Linked DNA regions of Canis lupus familiaris. The protein of the gene in region 1 purifies or fractionates together with the protein of each later gene. This does not show direct contact. Links are inferred from orthologs where the notes say so. Each region holds a gene or a part of one and is shown in the gene's direction. Other genes may lie near its edges. The genes, in order: ARHGDIA, EZR and RHOC.

What was found.
Region 2: the proteins of ARHGDIA (region 1) and EZR purify together in Homo sapiens (co-purification; 3 studies listed by BioGRID and IntAct, with this or other methods). This does not show direct contact. The link is inferred for Canis lupus familiaris from reciprocal best matches to the Homo sapiens genes ARHGDIA and EZR.
Region 3: the proteins of ARHGDIA (region 1) and RHOC purify together in Homo sapiens (affinity purification with mass spectrometry; 4 studies listed by BioGRID and IntAct, with this or other methods). This does not show direct contact. The link is inferred for Canis lupus familiaris from reciprocal best matches to the Homo sapiens genes ARHGDIA and RHOC.

The regions. Positions count from the first base shown.
Region 1 is NC_049230.1:1,242,142-1,246,236, forward strand, and holds the start of ARHGDIA (rho GDP-dissociation inhibitor 1), read left to right. Parts: upstream 1-1,228; 5' UTR 1,229-1,357; intron 1,358-1,930; exon of another isoform or gene 1,931-2,068; intron 2,069-2,653; 5' UTR 2,654-2,679; coding exon 2,680-2,869; intron 2,870-2,994; coding exon 2,995-3,078; intron 3,079-3,335; coding exon 3,336-3,412; intron 3,413-3,495; coding exon 3,496-3,559; intron 3,560-3,743; coding exon 3,744-3,943; 3' UTR 3,944-4,095. UniProt on the Homo sapiens protein: Controls Rho proteins homeostasis. Regulates the GDP/GTP exchange reaction of the Rho proteins by inhibiting the dissociation of GDP from them, and the subsequent binding of GTP to them.
Region 2 is NC_049222.1:48,655,505-48,658,329, reverse strand, and holds part of EZR (ezrin), read left to right. Parts: intron 1-308; coding exon 309-439; intron 440-1,069; coding exon 1,070-1,230; intron 1,231-1,593; coding exon 1,594-1,686; intron 1,687-2,825. UniProt on the Homo sapiens protein: Probably involved in connections of major cytoskeletal structures to the plasma membrane. In epithelial cells, required for the formation of microvilli and membrane ruffles on the apical pole. Along with PLEKHG6, required for normal macropinocytosis.
Region 3 is NC_049238.1:63,590,718-63,594,865, forward strand, and holds the start of RHOC (rho-related GTP-binding protein RhoC), read left to right. Parts: upstream 1-1,303; 5' UTR 1,304-1,412; intron 1,413-4,148. UniProt on the Homo sapiens protein: Regulates a signal transduction pathway linking plasma membrane receptors to the assembly of focal adhesions and actin stress fibers.

The DNA.
Region 1 (4,095 bases):
ACCGGGTTCACAGTACTCTTCTTTGGACTTTGGTGCATGTGGTGGGGCACCTGCAAGACAGGGCCCGACGGCCTGGCCGGCCCGTCTTCTCACCCCGTGGCCCCTCCTACACTGTCCTGGGGCAGGTCTGTGTGAGCAGAGCACCAGGGACCTTGCTTCTGAGATTCAGCTTCTAAGAGCCAGTGCAGCTTCGCCTCCAGTGCTTGCTGTTTCCCGGCTCTTGTCCTCTGTCCATGGTCCATCTGTCCGCCTCTGAGGCCTCACCTGGGACAAGTCAGCTACCTTGCTGTGGGCAGCCCTCTGGAGAGGTTGGGAGTGCCAGGTGGCACTGAGTCCTCCAGCGCAGGAGGAACCAGACTCCTGTTCATAGCATCTGCAAGAGCCTAGGGACCGGGGCTCTGGCTGGCGGCTGGCCTGCGACCTCACAGACCAGGAGCCAGGGCCGCCTGCCAAGCAGCTCCCTGATCTCAGCCGTAGAACTGCTGTGTCAAGCTGCTAAATACCATGGGAACGTTTTTACACTGTAATAGATCACGTATAAAATGTGTTTGAATTTTCCTACAGCTGGTTTTTTTTACTTTTTGTTTTGTTTTTCAAAAGCACTTGGGTGATCTGCAAGCCGACCTTTTCCTCTCCCAGCCGCTGGGCGTGTAGGGCGGCGGGCCGGGTGCGGGCTTGCACAGGGGAAGCGGGAGAGCAGCACACCGAGGCGCTCACCACGAGGCTCTGCACACACAGCCGAGGCTCTGCACACACAGCCGGCGCGCGGCTCCTACGTCACGCAAAATCTGCACATATTCCCCCGGTACTAAAAAATATCTCCAAACCGGTAGCCAGGTTCGTAGCTTGCCTTCAGTTCCCTCCGCACAGGTGCCGCGCGGGGCCGAGCGCCGGGCCGAGGGCGGGGCGCGGGGGGGGGGGGCGGCACCTGCCGGGGCTCGGCGGCGCGCGCGGCTCATTCGGACACCTGCCGGCCTCGGGGAAGGGCGGGCGGAAGCGACCGGGCCGGCCGCACCGGGAGCTTCCGGATTAGGCTGCGAGGAGCGCCTCGGGGCCGGACCCCCCTCCGCCGCGCCGGGACCCGGGGACGCCCCGCACCGGAGAGCACCCGGCGCCCCGCGAGCGGCCCCGGCCCCGCCCCCGCGGACGCGCCCACGGAGGCCGGCTCCACAAGATGGCGGCGGCGCGCTCCCGGCGGCCCGTGCGCGCGCATGCGCCGTCCGCCCTCCGCCGTCCGCCCGGCGCGAGCGGAAGTCGCGTGACCCCGGAAGTGGCCGGCCGGGCGCGCGCGGGCGGGGCGGCGACGTTCGTCATTCCGTGCGGGAGGGAGCGCGAGAGCGGCGCGGTCGAGCCTCCGGTGAGCGGCGGCGGCGGCGGCGGCGGGCAGGGCGAGGCGGGGCGGGGCGGGACCGGGAGGGCGGGCGCCGCGGGGCCGGGGGTGCCGCGCCTTTGTTCGCGCCGCTCGCCGGGGTGGGCGCGGGCCTCCTCGGGGGCCACCGCCCGTGTCCCGCGGCGCCCCCGTCCGCGCCGCTGCTCGCCGGCAGACTGGCCGGCGCCCCCTCCCCGGGGATGGCGGGCGCGGCGCCCTCACGGCGGCGTGGTCCCGAGCACCCCTCCCCGCGCGGCGCGCCCGCCCGCCCAGATTGCGGAGCGCTGCGGAAGGAAGTGTGGGCCGCGGCCATCGCTCTCGGAGGATCCTGTCCCCCGCGGCCACACTTGGGTGGCGTCAGGGCGTGAGCCTTCTAGAGGAATTCCAGAGGAAGCGGCCGGGAGGCCTGGAACAGCGGCTGGCCCCACCCCGCCGGCGGCGGTCCTTTGTGGGGCTCGGGCCGCCCCAGGCGACCCCAGGCGGCCCGCCGGTCCGTGGGGACGGGCAGGCCGAGGTCTAGGGGGCCAGGGCCCCGGCCCACCTCCCGCGCCGCCCGGAGGACCCGAGCGGGCTTCCGTGTCCCGGGGCACGCTGTCCGAGCCGCCCGGGGCCAGGATCCCGGAGGAGGATCTTGAGACCATGTGGGCACTGCCGCGCTTCCCAAATCGTGGCTCACGTACCCTGGCCGTTGGAGAAGAGGTTGGCGGGTACTTAGGGCTCCTGGTGAGGGGCCGGGACCCACCTGTGGGACTCGGGCTGGCCGGGTCACCAGAGCTGCGCTGTGGGGACTTGCTTCCCTGTTAGAACCGGGCCCAGGGAGTGTGTTTGGTCAGGGAGACCCAGGAGGAGGTGTCGCTTGGGGAGAGAGTCTGGGCAGCTGCAGAAGAATCTCAGGACTTCAGAGGTGACCCCTCCCTGTCGGGGCTGGGAGTGCTGTCTTCTCCCCCAGGCTTGGGAGAGGGATGCCTGGTCTTTTCAAGGAGCGGGTTGCAGGCCCCACTTGGTTCTGGGTGCTCTGTCCCAGTTTCCAGCAGGTCCCCGAGGTGGGCAGGGCAAGGAGTGTGGCCCTCTCTGGGCCTTAGGAGCCTGTTTGGGGGGTGAAGCTGAGTCTGCAGTTGCTTTCCTCCCGAAGGCTTACATCCCCTTGTGCCCAGACAAGGGGCCGGGTTACCTGCAGAGGGCCCTTCAGTACAGCGCACCTGCACCAGCGGGGGGGCTTGCTGAGAGGCAGGAGAGGGAGATGTGCGTCCCTTCAGGCTGACACAGCCCTGTCCCTGCCCACAGGTGTCCCAGACCAGCTAGGAGTGAGCATGGCTGAGCAAGAGCCCACAGCTGAGCAGCTCGCGCAGATCGCAGCTGAGAACGAGGAGGATGAGCACTCTGTCAACTACAAGCCCCCTGCCCAGAAGAGCATCCAGGAGATCCAGGAGCTGGACAAGGATGACGAGAGCCTGCGCAAGTACAAGGAGGCCCTGTTGGGCCGCGTAGCCGTGTCTGCTGGTAAGTGGGCTGAGGCAGCACCAAAAGGGATGCTTGTCACTTCTGGGTTTCAGCCGCCAGCCCCACCCCCCAGCCTCCAGCAAGTGGGAGGTGGGGAGGCACTCCAACCCACTCTCCCTCCGCAGACCCCAACGTCCCCAATGTTGTTGTGACCCGCCTGACCCTGGTGTGTAGCACAGCCCCGGGCCCCCTGGAGCTGGACCTGACAGGTGAGTGGCATCACTGAGGTCCTCCCGCCTGCCACCCTGCTGTTTCCGCTGAAACTAGTTCTCGGAACGCGGGTGCCCCCTTGTGGGGGGCGCGAGAAGCGCAACCAGGAAGTCTGCAGGCTCTGGCTTTGGAGGGACCTGGGCGGCGGGTGGGGTCAGGGTGGGGGCCGAAGGAGCGCCAGGCGCTGCAGATGGGAGATGCTGAGGTGGGCAGCTTCCTGCAGCTGAGCCTTTTAGTGCAATCTTCTTGGGCACAGGGGACCTGGAGAGCTTCAAGAAGCAGTCCTTTGTGCTGAAGGAGGGCGTGGAGTACCGGATAAAGATCTCTTTCCGAGTAAGGCAGAGGCTGTGGGAGGAGCTGGGAGGTGTCGGGCCTGGAGGGCCCCACCGAGCTCTGCCTGGGTTCTCCCCCTGCAGGTGAACCGGGAGATTGTGTCGGGCATGAAGTACATCCAGCACACGTACAGGAAAGGCGTCAAGAGTGAGTCGGGGGTTGGCCCTGCCCCCGAGATGGCGTGGCACCACTTAGGTGGCCTGTGGGAGGGGGCAGGGTGGAGGTGGCCGCCCAGGGCTCTGGGACCAGGAGGGAGAGGAAGATGGTGGTGTGTGCCCTTAGCCCTGGTGGGATCGGGAGCACCGGTGACCAGTGTGTCTCCTGCACACAGTTGACAAGACCGACTACATGGTGGGGAGCTACGGGCCCCGGGCAGAGGAGTACGAGTTTCTGACCCCCATGGAGGAGGCACCCAAGGGTATGTTGGCTCGCGGCAGCTACAACATCAAGTCCCGCTTCACAGACGACGACAAGACTGACCACCTGTCCTGGGAGTGGAACCTTACCATCAAAAAGGAATGGAAGGACTGAGCCCTGGCCTGGGAGGCGGGCAGGCCTTCGGACAGACAGACGGACCTGTCTGACACGCCCCACCCCTACTGCCCCCACCCCATCCCAACCCCTTACCAAAGTGCTGACGGGTCTGCTCTCCCTGGCCTACCCTTCCCATCCCTCCCGGCCCC
Region 2 (2,825 bases), on another chromosome or scaffold:
ACGGGGTGGTGTTCTCCCAGAATGGGCAGCCTCGTAGGGCCCGCACCATTCCCCAGGGGAGGAGCCAGGGTGACATCACCTAGCAAACAAAACGGAGCTTCGGGGGGTGATGGCCTTTGGAAGTTACCGTGTGGGTCCCAAGGATCAGCCCGGGAGGGGTGTGCTCAGTGTTGACTCTGCCACCTCCTAAGTCGGTACCATCCAGAGGATGGGCCTGGGGCCTGGACTGGGCACTGGTGATGTGTGTTGACATGGCAAGTGCCTGCCAGCATCTAGACATTGCTGTGTTGTCCCTCACCCTGTAACAGGCAGCAGCTGGAAACTGAGAAGAAGAGGCGAGAAACCGTGGAGAGAGAGAAGGAGCAGATGATGCGGGAGAAGGAGGAGCTGATGCTCAGGCTGCAGGACTATGAGGAGAAAACCAAGAAAGCAGAGAAAGGTGGGTTTGTGCCCAGTGGTTGTGTTCGCAGGGGTGCATTCCACAGCAAGGGGCAGATGGACCGTCAGCTTGCCCACAGCCAGGAACTTCGCAGGTTAAAACAAGACCCACAGCAGAGACTCGTGGCTGAGAGAACACGATGATGGGTCTTTGTGTTAAAGATATTCCTGTACTTTAGATGCTCTGCTAACTGCTTTTATGCACATTATCTTTTTTTTTTTATTTTCCCTTACTCCTTTGAGGCTAATACTGAGTCCTCCCCATTTTCCTGATGACAATATTAAGGGCTAGCAGGTAAAGTAATTTGCCCCAGGTCACGTGGCTAGTGAGTGCCCAAACCATGGTACATTGCCCCGTCTTACAAACCAAAAACTTGGCGAGTGGTGCAGTTTCTGCGTGTCCGCCAACACCAAGCAAGGGATCGACGAGTTCTAGGCCCTGCAAGGCTGGGGCATTGCTGTCAGGCTCTGGAGCCAGTGTGGGTAGTTGTGTAAATCTAGGGAACCCCCCCCTCCTCCCCATCGTGTTCCAGGTCCTTTAACAAGACCGTAGTTGTTTCACTGGGAATGTTCTGGCACTGGGATCAATGGGCGCTTCCATGGTTTCTTTTTCTCCTTGTGTTCTCTCCAGAACTGTCAGACCAGATTCAGAGAGCCCTGCAGCTAGAGGAGGAGAGGAAGCGTGCCCAGGAGGAGGCAGAGCGTCTGGAGGCTGACCGCGTGGCCGCCCTGAGGGCCAAGGAGGAGCTGGAGAGGCAGGCAGCAGATCAGATAAAGAGCCAGGAGCAGCTGGTAGGAGCTCCCTGAGTTTCATGATGCTGAATTATGGAGAGGCTGCCTCTGGGGATGCAGAAGTGACGCCTGCCTTATGATTGTGTCTGGGGCTGTAAAACGATCTGCTTGAGAGAGTAAAGCCTGGTGGGAGGGGCTGTGCTGCTGTTTGGGCCTCGGTGGCCCTGCTGCAGGCATCCCGGGAGCTGGACGTGGTGGTCTGGGTGAGGCATGGCCTTGAGGACACGGTGGGCAGCAGGGGGCACTGCCGGCTGGGGAGGAGCAGGGGAATGAGGCCAGTCACCAAACTGTGTGGCTGTCCATTTGCAAAAGGGCTCTCCCAAAAAGCCCCAGAAATAATTTGAGCTTCGTGTGCTTTACTAGGCCGCAGAACTAGCAGAGTACACAGCGAAGATCGCCCTCTTGGAGGAGGCGCGGCGGCGCAAGGAGGACGAGGTCGAGGAGTGGCAGCACCGGGTGAGTCTGCAGGCCAGAGACCTTGTGGGGGCACACGGCCAGAAGGCGGCCAGGGCCAGGCTGTTGGGTGGCGTAGCGAGCCTCGGGATGTTTTGCGATGCTTTACCAGTCCCAGTTGGGCTTCTTAGGCCAGAATCCCTGTAGGAATGGGCTTGCCCTGTGCGCTGGGGAGGCCGCTGTTGGATTAGCAGGGAACAAGGAGCCTCTTGTTCACTTCTACCCCTCTGCTCTGGCCGTCTCCACCCCTCTGCTCTGGAGCAGAGTTAACAAACCCCAGAGCTCCATCAGGACTAGCTCTAAATCTGGTCATGTGGGTGCCCCTAGCAACAGGCCACAGGGCCTGAAACTAGACCTCCTGCCTCTTCTGACCGCTGGTGCATACACCATGTCACCATGGAAAGATTTGGACTTGGAGGTCCCAAAACAGGGCGAGGGTCGCAGCTCTGCTCTTATGCAGCGTGATGGGGCACGTGGCCTGACCTCTCCATGCCTCCGTTTCCTTACTGCAGGTAGGGAGTAATAGCCAGCCTGTAAGGTTGCTCCGAGGACCATGCTGCAGAGAGGTTTAATAAATTGCAGCTGTAATAGGAAGAACCACATTCCACTGCAGTGTCCAGAGAGCCTGCCTCTCCAGCTGAGCCCCCCATGCCTGCTGGGAAAAATGGTCCCCAGGGGAGCTTTGGATATATTCAGTGTAGACATCTACCAAGCTGTGGCAGCCGCCTGCCCCACCCCACTGTCCTTACCTGTGCTTCCCCATCTGTAGTGGCTCCTTCTGGGGACACCTGGTTCCTCCCTCACATCTCCTCTTAAGCTCCATCCCCCCACCCCACCCCCATGCAAGTTGGATCCTTAGGTTTTTGGAGAAAGTGTTCATTATAAAGTACGGAGTGAGAAAAAGCTGGTTGCAGAAGAGGTTCAAACTAAGCTCACCTCCAGGGACGGAGTGGTAATGAGGTGGGCATGATTGGGGATGTGTACCTAGGAGAGGTTACTGGAAGATTTAGGGGTAACAGCAGGTAGGAGGGTGCTTGAGCACAGTGCCCACAGGCAGTGAGGAGCGTCATAAATAGTGGCCACACAAGGGAAGAGGATAAAACTGCACTCTGCAATGTGATGGTGGCATTTTCTAGTGGCTG
Region 3 (4,148 bases), on another chromosome or scaffold:
TGTAATGAGAGTTCCGTAACTTGCTATCTTCAAGTTGGTTTTTGAATTTGGACTGTAGGGTCTTTGAGGACAGAAATCCATCTGAACTGAGCTCGTAGCTCCCAGTCCACACTCAGTGCATGTTTTTTGAGCACCTGAAGAGGCTTGGGGACCCAACTTCTCTGGACCTCGGCTTACTCGTTTATATCAAAAGTGTGGTCTGCACTTCAGAGCTTTTAAGGCTACATGACTTCTGACATTCGTTCATTCAGAGAATATTTCTTGAAAAACGGTGAGATGTGCCACACAGTGTGCCAGGCAGTGGGGATGGACAGGTGGGAAGGGTGTAGAGGACAAGCAGGGAGAAAGCACCAGCTCCAGAGCCAGATGGCCCTGACTGAACTCTCACTTGTCTCATACAGATCGCAAAAATTTGGGCAAGCCACTTGTCTGAGCCTCAGTATCCTTACAAGCAAAAGGAGATGGATATGCTTAACCCAAAGATCCATGATGAGTAGTAAGAGGGCTGAGCTATGTAGCCAACAGGTCACAAACTAGTAACATCCTGGTAGGCTTCCTCATCCTCATCCTCATCCTCCTCAGCCACCTGAACGGGAAAAGTGTAGACAGACACGGAGATGAGGGCCCAGCGCGACGTGTCGGACCGGCTGGGTCCCCAGCGGCACAGAGGCAGCGCCCGGGAGACGGAAGGTGGCTTCCCGGCTGAGACCAGGAAAGGCTTCCAGGAGTGCCCTTTCGGGGTGCACAGTCACCGACCCGAGGAAATGCCGAGCGCGGGGAAGGAGGGGGATTGTGGCCTGGGTCTCAGAGGATCCGAAAAGTCCCAGGGGCGGGGCGTGATGTTGGACGGAACCGACCCCTCAGGACTTCCCGAGCGGAGAGCGGCCGTCCCGGGTGGGCGGGGCCCCGGGGGTGGGCGCGGGCGCGGGGCGCCGCTCGGCCACGGGGGGGCAGCAGCGGCCCTCCCCCCGCCCCCCCCCGCAGCGCCCCGCAACTTTCCCCAAGACCGACTCCCCCGGGGGCTGCAAGGCGGGGCGGAAGCCGAGGCCCCTCGGGGCCCGCCCACTCCGTCAGCGGCCGCGCGGCCCCCGCGACCCCGGCCCCGCAGCCCGGGAGGACCGCGGCGGCCCCAGGCCGGGCCGTGCGCAGCCGGAGCCAAGGGCCGCCCCGCCCCGCGGCCCCGCCCCCGCCCGCGGCCCCGCCCGCGGCCCCGCCCGCGGCCCCGCCCCGCCCCGTGGCCCCGCCCCCGCCCCGCGGCCCCGCCCCCTGCGGGGCCCGCCTCGCCCCTCCCTCCCTCCCTCCCCCCCTCCCCCCCTCCCCTCCCCGCCGGCGCTGGAGGAGGGCGGGCCCCCTCCCCGGGTCAGTCTCAGCCTCTGGCCCTGGCCGCGCAGCTGGAGGCGGCGGAGCGGAAGGTACCGGGCCGGGCCGGGGCTCGGGGTGGCGGGGCTCGGGGTGGCGGGGCGTCCCGGGAACTCGTCCCCGGAGGGCACCGTCGCCTCCGTCCGCTCGGCCGCGGCTCGGGCGGGCGCGCGGCGGGGAGGGGGCTTTGGCCCGGCCGCTGCCCCGCGGGGCCTCCGGCCTCCCCTTCCCGGCTTCCCGGAACCCGCCCCGCCGGGCGAGAAGCCAGGAGGCGACTCCGGTCTCGGCGACGGAGCCCCCGGCCCGACGCCCCGGCCCCCATCCGGACGGAGGTGGGAATCCGGGCACGGGGCGCGGTGTGACCCCGGGGCGGCCGCCGCTCGCCGAGGTCTGGTCGCCCCCCTAGACGGCTCCCGAGCGGTCCTGGGGCGGGAGCCGGGAGCCGGGGAGGCCGGAGGCGCAGCTCCCTCGGAAGAGGACCTCCTCTCTCCCAGACCCCTCCCTCCCTGGCACTCCCGGAGCCCTACGGGGCTTGGGCCGGAGGACCCGGCGCTGAGTCCTGCCCTCACTTCTGGCTTGAAAGTCGACGTGGTATCTGATTTCTTCGCCAGCCCTCAGGGCTGGTCTGCAGGCTGCAGCCCACCCTCAGGCATCTGGAAATTTGGAGCAGGATTGAGGGGAGAGGGTGGTTCGTCTTGTCCTAGGGAAGGCCCAGGAGCTGGTGGGCTGCATCCCAGCCTCTGTGTTGGGTTCTGTTGCCCCTCTGAGGGTCAGTAGGGCAGTTCCTGTGGGGCTGCCTTTCACAGGGAGCTGTTTTCCTTGCCAGGTTGGCCTTGGGCCTACTGGCCTGGCCTGGCTTGGCCTAGCCAGCTGCTTTTCTTGCCCAATGAGAGCGTGAAGGGAAAGTCTTTGGATTGAGCTGGGGGCTCCAGATCACTTAATGCATGCCCTTGCCCCTGAATTCTGGCCTCTGTGCCTCCCACCATCTGGTACCACCTAAATGCCCTGCTGCAGGGAGGCAGTGAGTGGCCTGCTCACATCTAAGCAACCGGTTCTCACTGTGGACGTGACTGCCCTTCATCAGCACTGCCCATCCCAGGTGCCCCCAGCCTGTTTTCGCCCAGCTGGGCCAATGGAACTAGCGGGACTGGGTACGGGGGAGTTAATCACTTGGGCAGAATTTCCAGGGAGAACTCCCTTTTTGAAGGTGGTTTCCATCTTTGGAGGGGACCTGCTGGCACAGTGAGTGCCTTGCCTATCTTTTGGGGTACTAGGGGGAGAGCCCCTTTGTGGGGGGGACAGTGTGGCGGTATCCTCTGAATTCCTATAAATTCTCTCTGACTCATCCACTTCCTCTCATCCCACTTGTATGTGTGTGTGTGTGTGTGTGTGTGTGTGTGTGTGTGGAGGGAGGCCACCCAGGATCCCACTGTTGGAGAGAACTAGCTTTGGGCTCAGACTCCTTGCTTTCCTCAAAGGCAGACAAGCCAGGGCTGTGGGGTGGTGGTGGTCTGAGGAGTCCAGGAGCTCAGCCCAGTTTGACAGGATGTGGGTCCGAGAGAAAAAGCCCGGTTTGGGGCAGAGATCAGGTTACCATCCCTTTCTCCCTTAACTGCTGGCTGCCTGGTTGGTGTGGGGACTGGCCCTTTTCTGCTCAGTTTTGGGAGCTCCTCCCAGCTCCGCCTCTGGCCCCCTCCTTCTTCCCTACGGCCTCGCCGCCTCCCGGCTCCAAGTCCGCCCTCTCTTCCTCAGAGGCCGCAGACCTGGGGGAGCCTCAGCTGGCTGGAGAGCAGCTTCTGTCCCCAGGGAGGGAGGAAGTGAGGCTCAGATCCGGGGCTAGGAGGCTGGGAGGCTGCGGAGGCTTGGTGCTCGCTCGGCTGTGCTGGGGCTGGGACCCTACGGAAACCTCGGCAAACTGACTCCTTGCCCTGAGTCACAGGGAGGGGTGGGCAGGGCCTTGGGGTGAGCTAGACAGAGGGGAGGAAGGGGCTGTTCCAGGAGTGGGTGGAGGTGATTCCCTAGTAGATTATTGTGTCACTCGGCCCATGGTGGATGTGTTGCTCCCACAGTATGGTCATTGTCCCCTGCCTGGGGCTGAGTGACCCAGTGTTGCCGCCAGGGCCCAGGAGGATGGGGAGAGGAGGGCAGGCTGCCCAAATGTGGGCTGTGGGCACCGCGGGGACTGAGCCTCCTTTGTGCGACTGGGGCTAGCTTTGGGGACTGGGATGGGGTGGGGTGGGCCGGGGAGGCTGGCTGGCTGCTGCCACTGCCCTCCCTGGGTTTCCCCTCCCTCGGCTCTCTTTCCCATCTCTGAGGTGATCCGTAGAAAAGGTGACAGACCCTAGAGTCATGGAGCCTGGCTTCCAGTGTGCCCCCGCCCCCCCAGCTCTGACACACGAGTCCTTTTTTTTTTTTTTTTTTTGACACGAGTCCTAACCTCACCTAGGTTTGTTTCCCGTTTGTCAGAATGGAAGCGCACCCTCTACCTTCCCAGGCTTCTGGGGACTGAGGGGGATGGTTTTTACCGAAATGCTCAGCAGACTTGCTCTTACCCACCTGTCCCCTGGTAGTTGGCTGTGCCAGCCTGTGGTCTGGAGAGGGACTCCTCACTGCAACGGGGCGGGCATGACCTGCTCTGAGCCAGGGCCGACGTGTCCATGATAGGGCCCTTGTGATTGCTAAACTTTAAAAGTATCAAAATCCTGGTAACAGAGTGTGACTTGAAGCCCTGGTATATAGCAGGTGAAAGCCAGCTCTTCCAGAAGGGGCTCCAACCCTGGAGCCCCCCT